3 linked regions of the Schizosaccharomyces pombe genome follow. The protein of the gene in region 3 interacts with the protein of the main gene of each other region in a biochemical or structural test. Each region holds a gene or a part of one and is shown on either strand. Other genes may lie near its edges.

Region 1 (3,952 bases), 3.4 Mb from region 3:
GATTTGACCAAACGGGTGGCTCTGTCATTGCAAATGATCAAACATCCGGTAACTTTGGGATCCAAAGTTCCACTGTGACCAGTTTTTTCAACACGAAGAATTTTTTTAACCCAGGCAACAACCTCATGAGAAGATGGATTAGCCGGTTTGTCTAAATTGATGACACCTGAAGAAACATATTCCGCAATTGGACGTTTCAAAGGGTTATTACCACAGGGAATAGGTGTATAATGACCAGTACGAACGAGCAACTTGTCAAAGTTTTTCAAGAGCAATGGCCACTCAGCGGTATCAATTTTAGAAGCAGAAGTAGCCTCAGGCTTGATCATAAAATCAACTCCTGGATGAGTGTCCGTCATTTTTTCAATAATACAATCGCAGAACGCAGGTGAATGAACAATCCTCGATCCAGCGATATTGGCGGGCGTCAGAAAATTGTTTCGCCAGTAGTTATCGTGACTACCAAAAGTTAGCGATGAATACTTATGCATCTTTAAAATTCGTTATATTTTGCTATTGATCCTTATTTGCAAATGTATTAAAAAATGCATTAAATTGCTTTCCAAAAGGCCAAGTTTTCCAATCGAGTATTTTTTACTATTTCATTGATAGTAATCCATGTAACTGTTTTCTTTAAATGTAAATTTATAACGGCTTGGCGAATTTGTATTCAATTGAAATCAAAAGCTCGCTTTAAATCTTACAACCTATCTTATTACAATGTATAAATTGGTAAAAGAAAAATATTAGTATATTAACTCAAACCTTGTGTTTTGATCATTATAGACAACAAAAGTAAGAAAACTCAGAAATTTAGAAAAAAATAAAATAAATGCTAACAGTTAATCCATTAAATTCCAAGGACAAAACACACTTCGCAATGGCTTGTTTATAATGCTAAAGAAATTTGGTTGAGTGATGATAATTAACTATGCTAAATCGTTGAAAGGAAATATAAGAAAATATTCAAGATGATTTAAACAGTAAAAAATTGCCTTTAAGATTGATAAGAGCTAGATTTTGAGGTTATTCGGTGCTTTTGAAGTGCCTTATTGATGTTCCACAAACAATCATAAGCTTTATTTTTCATAACAAATTCATCCAAATCTTTCTAGTTCCTTTTTAAATAAACCTTATGAAATAATTCTCGTCAAAAATGTGACAAACCACAACAATCCTTGATATAGCTTTCAGTTAAGGCAATTTCTGATATTCATCAGGAATATCTTTATCAGAGGGAGAACCCTGTATATGGTAGATAAATTTGAATTCATTTGTTTGGCAGACTTATAATTGAGAATTTCTTCGGATCTTTGAGCTGAGACTTTCAATTCGTTTACTTCCGATTCGACTTTCCAAATTCTAGCATCAGTATCTGGTTATTGGCTCTAATAACGTTACTAATGCACTCAAATGTTCCATTCAAATAAACCATATTTTTTTTGAGAACATTTTGACCATGGCTAAGATGATTCAGATCTTCTCTGAGGCTACTTTGACCATCTTTAAGCTCTTGAAGCATTTCGTAAGTTTGAAATATACTATCTTTTTTACTTATGCTTTCCCGAACTTCACATGCAAGAATTTCTAGGATTTGCCAATTGTTCTTTAAATGCTTCAAATTCGTCTTCTGGAATGGCTACTTCTAAATCATACACGAAATCGTGTAATGCAACATAAGGATTGTCAGATGGAAGAGGAACTCCAAATTGATTAGTAAATATGGCTTTATCGATCTTCATGTTTAGGCAAGTCGATACAGTTTCCAAAGTGCTATAATATATCAAAAATTTTAACAAAATCAGAGCAGTTTTTCAAGTTTCAGAATTTTATGAAATAAAGATTTATTAACATAAGAGTTTCAAAATACTTGTTTCCTTCAATTTTTATCTAAATTTCGCAAATACGTAAACAAAACAAGAATTTTGCGAAGCTCATAGACAGTTAACTCCTTCGATTTCGTAAAGTAATATACAGCGAACAAATATTACGCTGCATTAAATGTGCTTTTCTACGTTGTATCATAAAGCATAAGAGAAAGAGAAATCTAAAATCCAGTACAGATAATAAAAGGAAAAACCTCGAGTTTGAAGTAGCCGGTGTTACGTTTTCGCACTTGACGCTTTTATTTCAAAAGCATTTTCATAGTACCTTCATATTACAATATGTGTTACGTTACTTTACCAATTAAGATCATATAATAAAATTATGAGGATAGCTCAAGTATCAACTGTCACAGACAAGGAAGAAAAGGTAGCGTTGAAACCTAAGTTACTCAACATTTAGATTATTAAAGAAGGAACCGATTTCCATTTAAAAAAGTTACTTCTTGTGGAGTTTTCCTAGTTGAAAAAATAATCTTATTATGTAAGTTGATTATAGTCATTTGCTATTGTGAGCCAGCCATTTATTTATACACATTTATTTAATCATATTGTCTTATAAAGATAATACTCAATAAGGGAATATATATTAGTATATAAAGGTAATACATACTCTGAATATAAATATATCCATTAATAGCATTCTTAGCCCGCACCAGTCCAGCAAACCCGTTACTTTAGTGGAGAGAGGTAACAAATAAAGGATGTTTGACAGGATAGATGGACTCCACCAACTTCATAAATCATTTACCTCAAACAAAATCATTGTTTCTGTGCTTTAACTTTGATTTATAATAGCTCTTGAATTCAAGCTATTTCCCTTTTTTTATAAAACTATTTCCTTGTCACGTTTATCGCCTGCTTTAGCTTTTGTTTACGTTATTTGAGCAAACAATATGCCTGCCTCCAAAGAACAAACCGATGAAATGAAAGAGGCATTTGTCCTTTATGATATCGACAAAGACGGTTTGATTCCTACGAGTCATGTGGGTTCCGTTTTGAGAAGTCTCGGAATCAATGTTACTGATGCCGAATTAGCAAAGCTTTCTAATGAATTAGGCGATGCCATTGATGAAAAAAAATTTATGAGCTTTGTTTCCAACAAATTAAGGGAAACAGAATCAGAGGAAGAATATATAAAAGCATTTAGAGTTTTCGACAAGGACAATAGTGGTTATATCGAAACCGCTAAATTTGCCGATTATATGAAAACGTTAGGTGAGAAGCTTTCAGATAACGAAGTACAATTGATGGTGCAAGAGGCCGATCCTACTAATTCTGGAAGCTTTGACTATTATGACTTTGTACAGAGAATCATGGCAAAATAGACTGCTTGTCTTTTCAATTCCGTTGCGTGAAGCGATCTGATTGCATATTTATATAAAAAATTCGAGCGAATTTTGAAATAAATGGTTGATTTTATGAGCATCGACGACTTATCAAAGGAGCCTTTTGTTTTCTTTTGGCATTTCATGTATTGCCGCTTCTGTTTCATTCATCCTTTACCTATTGATTACAATTGCGACGAAGGCAGGTTATGCTATTGACTAAATAATGTACAAAGGTTTAGATTAAATATAAATATACATAACATTAAAAAGATGATTTAAGGGTTCGTAGCAGCTTTTTTTTTTCGTTGCAAATAACGTTCTCGCGCAGATTGTACTTGAGTTTCTGTAGTATTGCGACTTGCGTGTATTTTTAACGCAGCTTCTCTTGATTTTTGAAATTCCTTTTCTTTCTGGAGACGTTGTCGATTTTCAAATTCTTTTCGTTGTTTGTCAATTTCCTCTAGTGAGTATGTCCCATGGCGTTTATCTGGGCGATCTTGATGATACCTAGTCGATGGAGAAAGTGACCGTTTATAGCTTGACTTATGATTCCGTTTCTTATCATCCCTCATTGAATTGTTAGCAGATGATTTTCGAATATTCAGTCCAGCAGTCAAGATTTGACGTTGATCTACTATCTCATTATTATCATTCAATTCCAATTTCAGTCCTTTCTTTTTAGCCTCTAGGATTAAATTATCACTACCAAGAGTATCTTGTCCTTTCATAGCATCTCCT
Region 2 (7,114 bases), on a different chromosome or scaffold from region 3:
GGCGAGTACTGTCTAACTGAGGACGATATACGCGTTGCGTGGAAGAGTATTAGAGCAAGCCTTGGAGAAGTTCCAATTTTGGCGTCAGAGGAGCAACTTTTAAAAGACGTTTCCAATGTACCTGAGGACGATTTGCTTATTGATATATCTGCTCCGGCTTCAACAAGTCGAAAGGTCCTTCCTGATGGAACCTACGCTACCGAGAGTGCAGTCACTAGTGAAGCTTTAAGTGCTGCTCGTTTGGAGGCTGTCAAAGCTTCAAAAAAGCCACCGTTGCGCACACAGATTTTGAGTGGTGATTACTATCTTGCTGCTGTTTTAGCTTCTGCTCTTACAAAGCTTGTGATGCGTTTTGCTCGACTTTCTTTCGACAAAGAACGATTGAACGCTCTCAAAGCTGAAGCATGTCTTATTATGACATCTATAATTCGAGTGGGTCAGTCCAAGTTTGTAAAATATACCATTGATGATGACTCTGTTGAGCGTATTATGAACTGTATCAGGGCCATATATTCCTTTGAAGAGCTTCCTGAATTCCAAACGGTGTTTCTTGATGATATGCGAAAAGCATTTTCATCACTTGTTGCTCAATCAGACAAGCGACAAAAGGAGGCAGATTTGTTAGTTAATGGAAGTGATGCTGTTCAAGCCGATGAGCTACTGAATATTCGCCAATTTCAAAGGGTCATTGAAGAAAAGCAGGATCTTAATTTTGAGTCCGACATCATACAAGCCACCAACGATGGTATGGTAGTGGAAGATTTGGCATCTAAATTAGATCATATCGTACAATTAGCCGGTTTTACAGATCCTGTTTACTGTGAGGCATATGTGAAGATACAACAATTTGATATTATTCTAGACATATTATTGGTTAATCGAACGGATACCACGTTACAGAATCTCTCTGTTGATTTGGCTACGTTGGGAGATCTTAAGGTTGTAGAGCGTCCACCACCCATGAATTTAGGACCTCATGCCTTTAAATCTGTTCAGGCTACGGTAAAGGTATCTTCAACGGAGTCTGCAGTAATCTTTGGAAATATCGTGTATGGTGGTAAAGCATCCGACGAAGACAAAATTGTTGTTTTGAATGGCATTCCAGTCAACATTATTGATTATATAAAACCCGCATTCATTCCCGAATCTCAATTCCGTAGCATGTGGACGGAATTTGAATGGGAAAACAAGGTCGATATTTCTTCCAACGAAGACATTAGTCTGTACGATTTCTTACATAAAATAATGAAGAAAACCAATATGAACTGTCTTACTCCAGACGCGTCTCTGCGTGGTGACTGTGGTTTTTTGAGTGCTAATTTGTACGCCTGCAGTATTTTTGGGGAAGACGCACTTATGAGTCTTAGCGTTGAAAAATCCGTCTCCGGTCCTATCTCAGGACATGTTCGCATTCGTTCAAAAACTCAAGGCATTGCCCTTAGCTTGGGTGCATTTGTTTAGAGTAGAATTATATAAGGAATGTTATCCACTCTTTAAATTTCTTGATGGATTAAATTCACAATGGGAAAGCTGTTATGGATGCTGATTTAGTAGGTATATCATGTGTCTAATATTTCGCTAAATCGATATCTGATACGCTGTTTTATTACTCTTGTTGTAAATACCTTTCCTGCCGTTCTTTATTTAGCTCCTTATGATATTTCTACGATTTCGCAATTAAAAGGAGCCTGCCTTGTCATGTTCTCACTACTTGATATCCTGACATTACTAAAGTTGTGTACCTTGTATTTCTCTGTAACAGGCAAGTAGATTAGCTTTCATCTCGTGCATTTAGTTTGGTATTATATATAAACCCCGTTATTTCAATTAATTATGGCACTCACAAACGTTGTCTATAAATCACTGTTTGTATTCTTTTATAAATGATATAAACAGATGATTATGTTTAAGTTACTGCAAATCATATAGCTTCTCTCATATTGTGTTACATCCTAATATCTGTAATAAGTTAATTGTCATAGAATATACTCAAGGTCAATACGAGAACTACAGTTGTATTTGCTGGGGAATTCAACCTTTTATGTCGCGTTATAATAATCTGCGGCTGCTTTGGTTCTTGAAACGGCGATAGCCGTTATATCTAAAATACTTCAAAACTTCTCGCTTTATGAAAGGTATCTTCGACTTAAAATATTCATAATTGAAAATTCATGTTCATTTAATTCATCTTATCGACTACATGAACACACAATAATCAAATCAAGTATTAACTAATTCAAGCGCGTTATGTTTATCACTTCATCATAATTAGTCGCAAATTTCATACCTTTAGTGTGTTCGTTACCTTACCTAATGAAGTTACCCTAAAACACATTTGGATAAGTTTCGTTCGAGTATGTTACATAACAAGCCTCTTTCGGCTAGGTAATTGTTTTAATGTCAATACCAAAAATGGATGAAGCAAACGACAGAAAGCTAAAGTATATTCAATTTTCAGCTAAAGTACAATTTTAATAATTGGGGTCTGAAGTTTCGAACGGTCTTTGGCAATATTGACCTAGAAACTCATATTTCGCTCATTTTAACGATCCGTAACGCAATTATCTCAGTATTAGAAGAAACCTACACGTAAGTGCGGACTTGTCGTTAACCTATCTCTTGTTCGGCCATAAGTGAATAGATTTTATGGTAAGTAAATATGCATGCCGAATGTTAGCTAATTAATAAATTAGGCCATCCTTAAGAGAACAAACCGCGCGAAAGCTGCGACTGCAGCTGCTCCCAATAGCACTGGGAAAAGCAATGGTATTAAAAAGGCTGTTTATACCAGCACACGCAAAAAGACTGTGGGTGTTGATGATTTAACCCTACTTTCGAAAATTACAGATGAGGAAATTAACAAAAACTTGGAACTGAGATTTCGCAATGGAGAGATTTATACATATATTGGACATGTGTTGATTTCTGTAAATCCATTTCGAGACCTGGGTATTTATACGATGGATATTTTGAAATCATATCAAGGAAAAAACCGTTTGGAAACGAGCCCTCACGTTTATGCAATTGCTGAGAACGCTTACTATCAAATGAAGTCTTATCATGAGAATCAATGTATTATCATTTCTGGTGAATCGGGTGCTGGTAAGACTGAGGCTGCAAAAAGGATCATGCAATATATTACACATGTTTCAAAGTCCGTTGGCACTGAAATTGAAAGAGTTTCCGAAATTATTTTAGCTACCAATCCTTTATTGGAAAGTTTTGGTTGTGCAAAAACTCTTCGCAATAATAATTCTTCTCGTCATGGAAAGTATTTAGAAATGATTTTTAATTCCGGAGGTGTTCCTGTCGGCGCTAAAATTACGAACTACTTATTAGAAAAGAACCGAATTGTTAATCAAGTTCGCAATGAGCGTAATTTCCATATTTTCTATCAATTCACCAAGAGCGCTCCTCAGAAATATCGTGATACATATGGCATTCAAGGTCCGGAGAATTATGTTTACACTTCTGCTTGTCAATGTTTGTCGGTTGATGGGATTTCAGATGAGAAGGACTTCCAAGGAACGATGAACGCCATGAAGGTTATTGGTATCACCGAGCCGGAGCAAGATGAAATATTTAGGATGCTTTCTATCATCCTTTGGTTAGGAAATATTCAATTTCAAGAAGGCCAAGATGGTGGTAGCGTGATTTCTGACAAGAGCATCACCGAATTTTTAGGCTATTTGATCGGTGTTCCTGTTGCGGCTATTGAGCGTGCCTTGACAATTCGTATTATGCAAACTCAGCATGGTGCAAGGCGCGGATCTGTATATGAAGTCCCCTTAAATCCAACACAAGCTTTGGCTGTTCGTGATGCTTTGTCTATGGCGATTTATAACTGTCTTTTTGATTGGATTGTCGAACGTGTCAACAAAGCTTTGGTCACATCAGACAACAGCGTTTCCAATTCGATTGGTATTTTAGATATTTACGGCTTTGAAATCTTTGAAAACAACTCTTTTGAACAATTGTGCATTAACTATGTTAATGAAAAATTGCAACAAATTTTTATAGAACTTACTTTGAAAACTGAACAGGAAGAATACGTGCGTGAGCAAATTGCTTGGACTCCTATCAAATATTTCAACAATAAAGTTGTATGTGATTTGATTGAATCCAAACGACCTCCTGGTCTTTTCGCAGCAATGAACGACGCTATCGCTACCGCTCATGCTGACTCTGCTGCGGCGGATAGTGCTTTTGCTCAGCGGTTAAACTTTTTATCCTCCAATCCACATTTTGAACAGAGACAAAATCAATTTATAGTCAAACATTACGCTGGTGATGTAACCTACAGCATTACAGGAATGACCGATAAGAATAAGGATCAGTTAGCAACTGATATTCTTAACCTTATTCATTCTTCCAACAACGAGTTCATGAAATCTATTTTCCCAGTGGCTGAAGAGAGTAACTCCCGTCGTCGTCCTCCTACAGCTGGTGATCGTATCAAAACTTCTGCTAATGATTTAGTAGAGACTCTTATGAAATGTCAACCATCGTATATACGTACGATTAAACCCAATCAGACTAAGTCGCCTAACGATTACGATCAGCAGATGGTTTTACATCAAATCAAATATTTAGGTTTGCAAGAAAACATTCGTATTCGTCGTGCTGGTTTTGCTTATCGTCAAGCTTTCGATACGTTTGCTCAGCGTTTTGCAGTTCTTAGTGGTAAAACCAGTTATGCAGGAGAATACACTTGGCAGGGTGATGATAAGTCTGCTTGCGAACAGATTTTGAAAGATACCAATATTCCTTCATCTGAATACCAAATGGGTACTAGCAAAGTTTTCATTAAAAATCCGGAGACCTTATTCGCGCTCGAAGACATGCGTGATAAGTTTTGGGATACAATGGCAACCCGTATACAACGTGCTTGGCGTTCTTATGTTAGAAGAAGATCTGAAGCTGCTGCTTGTATTCAGAAGTTGTGGAATAGGAACAAAGTTAACATGGAACTTGAACGTGTTCGTAATGAGGGTACTAAACTTTTGCAAGGTAAAAAGCAACGCAGAAGATATAGTATTTTGGGATCCCGTAAGTTTTATGGAGATTATCTATCAGCTTCAAAGCCTAATGGTACTCTATGGAACACATGCGGCCTCTCTCAAAACGATCACGTAATTTTCTCAATGAGATGTGAGGTCCTTGTTCATAAGCTAGGCCGCACTTCCAAACCTTCTCCTCGTCAACTGGTTCTTACCAAAAAGAATTTATATTTGGTGATTACAAAAATTGTTGACCAAAAGCTCACACAACAGGTGGAGAAGAAGTTCGCTGTATCTTCCATCGATTCTGTTGGTCTTACAAATTTGCAAGATGATTGGGTTGCAATTCGTAATAAGTCCAGCCAAAATGGAGATATGTTTTTGCGATGCTTTTTCAAAACAGAATTTATAACTACCTTAAAGAGAATCAATCGTAATATTCAAGTTATCGTGGGTCCCACCATTCAATACTGCCGAAAGCCTGGCAAGGTACAAACTGTTAAGACGGCAAAAGACGAAACCACTAAGGATTATGACTACTACAAGAGTGGAACTATTCATGTTGGTACTGGCTTGCCTCCTACCAGTAAGAGTAAGCCTTTCCCTCGCTTAGCAACTGGTGGTAGTACAGCAGCTGCTAGAGGGCCTCGCCCAGTTGTGCAGAACAAACCTGCTGCTACAAAGCCCGTATCTATGCCGGCTGCGAAGAGCAAACCTGCTCCTATGGCTAATCCCGTAAGTACTGCTCAACAAACCCAAAATCGTCCCCCTGCTCCTGCTATGCAAGCTCGTCCTAATACAACTCAAGCTGCAGCCCCAGTTACAAGTACGACTACAACTATTAAGCAAGCAACCACTGTTTCTGCTTCTAAACCAGCTCCTTCCACGGTAACTTCTGCAGCTTCTTCTCCAAGCAATATCTCTAAACCCTCTGCTCCAGTTGCTAATAACGTCAGCAAGCCTAGTGCTGTTCCTCCTCCTCCTCCTCCTCCTCCCGCTGAAGTCGAAAAGAAAGACTTGTACTTGGCCTTATATGACTTTGCGGGACGCAGTCCAAATGAAATGACTATCAAGAAAGACGAAATTATAGAAATTGTTCAAAAGGAGCCAAGCGGGTGGTGGCTTGCTTTAAAGAATGGTGCTGAAGGATGGGTTCCCGCAACCTATGTGACAGAATACAAAGGTTCTACACCTCAAACCACCGCTTCTTCGACTAATGTTGCAGCTCAAGCGAATAATAATGCTAGTCCAGCTGAAGTCAACAACTTAGCTGGTTCACTTGCTGATGCCTTGCGCATGCGAGCATCAGCTGTGCGTGGTAGTGATGAAGAAGAAGATTGGTGAGCTTTCATTATGATGTATATATAATACGGCCAGTACATTGCTTGATTCTTAATTTGCAATAATGAATGGCTTGTGACAACTATAGTCTCTCCTATCGCATGTTTTTTAGCTATCAATGAAAGCTTCTAGTATTTGCTTCTTGCATGTTTTATTGTGATAGATTGAGAATACTCTTCGTCGACGACTTTGATTAAGCAAAGCTAAATAGTAATTTAATTGTGAAATATAGTTGATACATTGCATAGCGTATACTTATAAATGGGACAAAAGTGATAGCTTCTGTAATAATATTAAAATCATTATCTTGTTTATTGTTTGAATAAATTAGTCAGCTCCAGTGGTAAAACGTAAATATAGTATAGTAGACTTCGACAATACTAAATTCCATTAGCTACCGTAGAAAGAATGAAGTTTTTCAAGCTAGCACTGCGATCAAATAATGAAAGTCCAAGGGTTCGTACAGAAGTGACCACCGGATTTTCCATTGCGTACAGCTTGTGGAACTTATCAACGACTCCTAGATAAACATGGTTTTTGAAGTAACGGTCACGGAAATACGGTTGGAGTGAAAAAACACTACCAATATCCTGACCGTGCTTGATAGCAAAAGAGAGTGCTGATATTAAAGATTCAACATCCTGAATTCCAGTATTTAATCCCTGTCCAGCTAATGGATGAGTGTTATGAGCAGCGTCCCCGCAAAGGGCAATTCCTTCTTTTACATATTCATCAACATGGGCAAGTCTCAACGGAAATGCCGCCCTAGAACC
Region 3 (5,490 bases):
GTATAGGCCTGCGGATATTCCAGCTCCAGCCCCAAAAGGAATGACAATACTGAAGACCGTCACCAGAAGAGTCACTTTGTAATTTAAAACAAGGACACGAAGATCAACCTCCATTCCTATAACAAAAAGAAAGAGTACCAAACCAAGATTAGAAACCAAGTTAAGTGGACCCATAGAACTAGTTGGAAAAATGTAATCCAAAAACTTTGGAATCCTACCCATCACAGTAGGACCAAGCACAATTCCACCTATACTGTTGTTCTGTTAACAACTATAGAAACCAAAAAGTAGGTACAGGAAGCTTCTCTTTTTCGAGTGATAAGAAATACTGCCCTGATTGACAACTTTCTTATCGTGCCAATCTGAGAAATTATAAAACATCTATTAACTTTTTAAAAGCTTCTTTCTTACTTCCGATATCACTTACATCTCCGCAATTACTCTTGGCTGCTGTAGAAAAGACAGAGGAATATGAATCAGTCGACATAATGCAATAATAATGATTGCCTAAAGTTGTTATTATAAAATTTCCCATTAAATGAGACATACCTGTACGATGAACAAAAGCAATGGGTCCGATGCACTGTAGACAACGACATTATCGCCGTCAAATATGCTTTGCGTTGACATGCCTAACAGCGGATTAGTTGTTATATGAACAAACCGATTGATATTTGAAATATAGTCATTGATGCACCTACTGCTATATTCGATTATATGCGAGTTAAGATAACTTCAATCGACTTAAGTTTGCAATTTTTTATGAACCCTAACACACATTGCATATAGTAATGGCGAGGTGCTAGTTGCTTAGTGGTAAGTTTTTACAGCAATATACCCTCGTGTTTTTAGCGAATAAAAAATTGAGACTTATTAACATGCTATGAGTTTAATTTATTTTAGGTAATGTAAGTTGTGAGACACAAACGGAACCTTCAAATTTAAAAACTGACAAACACCGTCTTAGGGACGGCGAACTCGGGTACCAATTTTATAAGTGTAGCGGATTTACTAATAGAAAGCAGAAACCTATTGAATATTTTTTAATAAATGCAGTACTTTTTGATGAACCGTCATGGTTCCTTTCCTCTAATATGAGCGATTGTTAAAAGTACCCCACAAAACTTTCATATAAGATACTCGAAATTATTTAAACGTGTATAAATTTTATATTGCTTCTCTAAAAAATAAAAGAAAATTGAAAATATTAACATTAGCAGCATATCAGAAGAAACAAGAAAAAGTAATCTTTAGAATACGACACAAATCTGCAAGCAATTAAGGTATTACAGAAATCCATAAAAAATTCCAAATCCTAATTAATGCCAAATTTTCTAATACAGACTTGTTTATCGACACCCAAAAGAAAGTGTTACTTGTAACAACGATTTCGATTTTTTTCAATAAAGTATCGAGAAAAGCAGCATAATCGGAATGAATATGCTAACGTTTTAAAAAAACTATAGCATATTCATTGGATGAGGTTATAAAGGGCTAAAAGTTAACATACAGCCTACGGCCTGTGACGTTGTCAAAAGTTGCGCAGTGAAATTTTAAAGCCGCATTTAGGTATCTAAGGAGTAGAACACATCGTTCTCTGGAGCGTCTATGAAAGAATGAACAAACAACAAACATAATACTGGATTGCAGCTGAAAGGAAAGCTAAAGCGTCCAATGGAATTTCAATACACTGAGAAGCAGCCAAAATCATAACTTACAACTTTCGCAATTAAGGAGAAAGAAATCGAATAATCCCCAAGAATGACAAATATTTTATCGTTAATATAACCCACATCTCTTACAAAACGTGTATTTCTCAAAATCCAAACAGAAGAAGAACAACAGGGAAGCCGAATCAAGAATATCTAAAGGGGAACTATTCTTCATCCGACTCACCGGATCCTTCTTCTTCATCGTCATCGTCAGCAACGACATCTGCAGAATATTGAAGAGCAGGCGCAGGTCCTTCTAATGCAGAAGCAAAGACATCGTGAAAGTCTCCTGGAACAAGGTCAATTGGTCGAAAACCATCGTTGTTGGTAAGAAGCGGATCGGCACCAACCTCCATAAGCATCTCCACTATAATGAAACAATAGTTAGACAAATACACTCAACAAAGCAAACACTATAAACTATCCCGAAGCAAAATCGATGTTTGTGAAATAAGCGGAAGCAAAGTACAAAATTATGAGAAAGTAATATCAAAGAATTGTTTGAATTTTACATAATATAAGCGATCTTGCATACGTTGAATCATTCGTAAAACAACGTAGAAATACACAACTCGACTTTGACCATAACTTCCGAAAATAACAAAGAACACGAAAGCAATGATTAGCACTTCGGCTTGTAAATTCACTTACCCATACGTAAAGCAGTTTCCTGATCTTTTTTTATAAACATAACGGCAAAGTGTAAAGGTGTGTCCCCTGTCATACGACAGCGGTTATTCAAATTTACGCCAGATATATCTAAAAGCCAGTCAAGGCACTCTAGGGAACCATATTTTGTACAGACATGAACACAATCGTTTCCAAGTGAATCACGAGCATTATTGATGAAGCTCACTCCGTCTCCTTCCTGTTGGTGAACAACTTCCTCAAGCATGTCAACATTATTCGAGCGGCAAGCCGCAATTAACATTTCCGCTAAAAAATCGTTAGCAACTTGATACAGCCAATAAATCAAGCAGCGCTCTTACATGGCTTAGCTCCTTCAGTTGACATTCTCGTGACTATAGTGTATTATGTATTTGGTAAGTATGTTAGTTCTTCGGTCCGCTGAATGGATCTCTATATATAAGTGGGGGGCGTGGGGGACGGAAATGTTCGTCAGTTACGAATAAACAAAGCATATACTAAGAAACTGTTTAATCATTACTTCTCCAAATGGTATTGCAATTGATGAATTTAACAGTGGGTTTTCAAAATTTTGAGAACCTATGTTAACCTTTGCTTTGAGTTTATCAATGATTGCAATATGACCTAAATAAAGCAATGAATTAATAAAATTAGTACTTTAAGCACTTAAATTTATTTCTTTTATAACGAAAAACTGTCCTATAGTGACCAAACATTTAGTTCTCATATCCCGGATTATAACCGTTTGTATAACATATCTACGCATTCGACACAGCCAAAAGGCTTCTTCCTCTGAAAGAAAAATAAACAACATAAGTAAAATATATGCACAAAGCAATTGAACAGATGATCTTGGTACAAGTCAACTCTAATAATTTATACGGAATATTTGATAAGAAACTATAGAGTATGAAAAGATGAAAAAAACTGGTAAATAATTGTAATGAAGTAAAAATATGTAAGAATAAGCGTTTTCTGATGATCATTTTAAGAATATGGATTATTGTTATATACCTGTATTGCTTAGACTTCTAGTATCCACATCAAGAGTTTTCATATTTGTTCTTAAAAAATGGAATTCAAGCCTACTATTACTTTCATTCATCTTTTTAATAAACTTGTACGGATCTAATTATCATCATTATTTGAATCTACTCCGGCTAATTTAAGATACAAGATATTTAATTTTTCATATATTATATATATTCTATTAGACACCACTTCTCAACTAACTCCTGATGGTGTAGTTGGTTATCACACCCGGCTGTAATTTCGATGATACCGGTTGGTCGCTAGTTCGATTCTGGCTCAGGAGATCTTTTTTGCTTCCACCTGGTAAACTTTAAAATATAAATAAATATATGTTCAGATCTGATAAACCTTATTGTTGCAATCAATATCTCATTATAAAACGATAGGATGTTATCACTTCAATATTATCTTTCCATCCTTCGTGAATATTCCTAACTCACTTAAACTTTTCTATCAGATGTTTTTAATGAAGCCCTTTAATCAAATTAACAAGGATCCTAAACTACTTTATAAAATATAAGCAACTAGAGCTGACTAAAAAAATAATAATGTGTAGATATCCTTAATTAGGTAGGTATAGGCTCATAAGTATTCAATTAACAACTCTTAAAACCAAACAAAAAAAAAAGAATTAGAAAGGTCTAAACACTATCATTATGTCAGGGTTTCGTCCAAGTTACGCTTTCGATGTTCAAAGGTTTCTTGTAGAAGTTTGCCAATAAGTGGTCTACCTGAGCTTAATTCAATCAGCAACGCGTTTAATCGCTTATAAGCCATGAAAACCAAATCAAAATTTCGAAACTTCAGCCAGACACAATGCTTTGTGAAAGATGACAAAAGGCCAAAAGTCGTAGCATTAAAATTTTCATTAAACTCAAAGTCCAGATACATCTTAATGATTGCAGATGATAGGATACAAAAATAGAATTGGGAATACGGCCAGAAAAAATCAGTAAAATGGGATTCGTTAATGGCTAGAAAATGAGAAACACAACGTTGCACCACGTTCAACATTTCTTGCTGATATACTGCATCTGTCAGTTTAAGTTTCAATGCTGTTTTCCGTAATAACAACTCCAAGGCATCGATTTGTAAAAACAATGATAAAGATCCAGGTTGGTTCTCTCTTAAATTACAGCTACATGAAAATTCTTCCAGACTAATCAGATATTTTGATATCTTTTGAGCCACAGTACGCCGATTTTTCGACATTGTCATAACCGCTCGAGCGTTGAAAAGATGTTGTAATACATTTTGAAGCAAAATACTTAGTTCCGCCATTTTAACAAATACATTGAATGAGTCGGCAATCCTTTGCTCCCCAGCCAATAGCTGGTTGTCCGTTAATGGTGGTACTAAGTAGTCATCTTGACGAATGCTTGCATTGATCCCAATATACATCGAAAGCCATTTTTCGTTAACAAAAAGGGCCCACCACACTCGATTACGCAAGATTTTTTCTTCCTTTGGAATCTGCCATTCAGAGCAATCCAAATGGAACCCGAGAATTTGCGCTAAAGCAATCGCTCTAGTCAAAATGCTCCAGTTTCCAGCTACGTTAATCCATGGTCTTCCCGTTAAAAAAATAATCGCCGCTTGTAGCGTACTTAATCGAGAGAGAGAAAAGGAAAGATCCAAGAAATCCTCAGTAAGATCCCATAATTTTTTTGCATCCAAGCGAGGATAATTTCTTAACTCTTTATCCGCATCCCAATAAATAATTGAGGAAGCATACATCGCAGTTAAAAGGATAGGGGACAGTTTGTGTTTTGCCTTTTTGAAGGCGAGGAGAAATCTTTCGCCATGAATAACAGGGTATACGCGATGAATGTACCGGAAGTAAAGGCCAATCAATCGTTCGCCGACTTCTGGGGATACTGTGGCTTCAACCACTTGAAATATTTGCTGAAGTTTTTCATAACGAGCAATTTGTTTGTGCGGCTCATAAGCTGGATCAACCATGTACATAACTGGAGTTTTTGGGTTTGCAGAAACATAACGAATGTGCATATTACTAAATGTATAGGTTCCCTCTTTAGGTATAAAGTACTGCCTTATCAAATCGACGTCAGAATCAGATGTTGGGTTCAAAATATAA

What was found. Proteins that work in one complex are often made in the same cells at the same time.
Region 1: the proteins of ank1 (region 3) and cam2 form a complex in vitro, tested with the Schizosaccharomyces pombe proteins (one study listed by BioGRID).
Region 2: the proteins of ank1 (region 3) and myo1 form a complex in vitro, tested with the Schizosaccharomyces pombe proteins (one study listed by BioGRID).

Annotation. Positions count from the first base shown.
Region 1 is NC_003424.3:5,136,814-5,140,765, reverse strand, and holds cam2 (myosin I light chain Cam2), read left to right. Parts: upstream 1-2,612; 5' UTR 2,613-2,779; coding exon 2,780-3,211; 3' UTR 3,212-3,452; downstream 3,453-3,952. Other genes in the region: pseudouridylate synthase Cbf5, read right to left, coding at 1-359; SPOM_SPAC29A4.06C (splicing protein), read right to left, coding at 3,490-3,952. UniProt on the Schizosaccharomyces pombe protein: Plays a role in meiosis and sporulation.
Region 2 is NC_003423.3:1,023,463-1,030,576, reverse strand, and holds myo1 (myosin I myo1), read left to right. Parts: upstream 1-2,603; 5' UTR 2,604-2,646; coding exon 2,647-2,649; intron 2,650-2,693; coding exon 2,694-6,344; 3' UTR 6,345-6,614; downstream 6,615-7,114. Other genes in the region: coatomer beta subunit Sec26, read left to right, coding at 1-1,461; monooxygenase Coq6, read right to left, coding at 6,722-7,114. UniProt on the Schizosaccharomyces pombe protein: Type-I myosin implicated in the organization of the actin cytoskeleton. Required for proper actin cytoskeleton polarization.
Region 3 is NC_003424.3:1,742,872-1,748,361, forward strand, and holds ank1 (ankyrin repeat-containing protein), read right to left. Parts: upstream 2,767-5,490; 5' UTR 2,727-2,766; coding exon 2,702-2,726; intron 2,649-2,701; coding exon 2,364-2,648; intron 2,148-2,363; exon of another isoform or gene 2,080-2,147; coding exon 1,877-2,079; 3' UTR 1,148-1,876; downstream 1-1,147. Other genes in the region: potassium ion/proton antiporter Kha1, read right to left, coding at 1-253, 428-507, 550-630; dal81 (transcription factor), read right to left, coding at 4,047-5,490.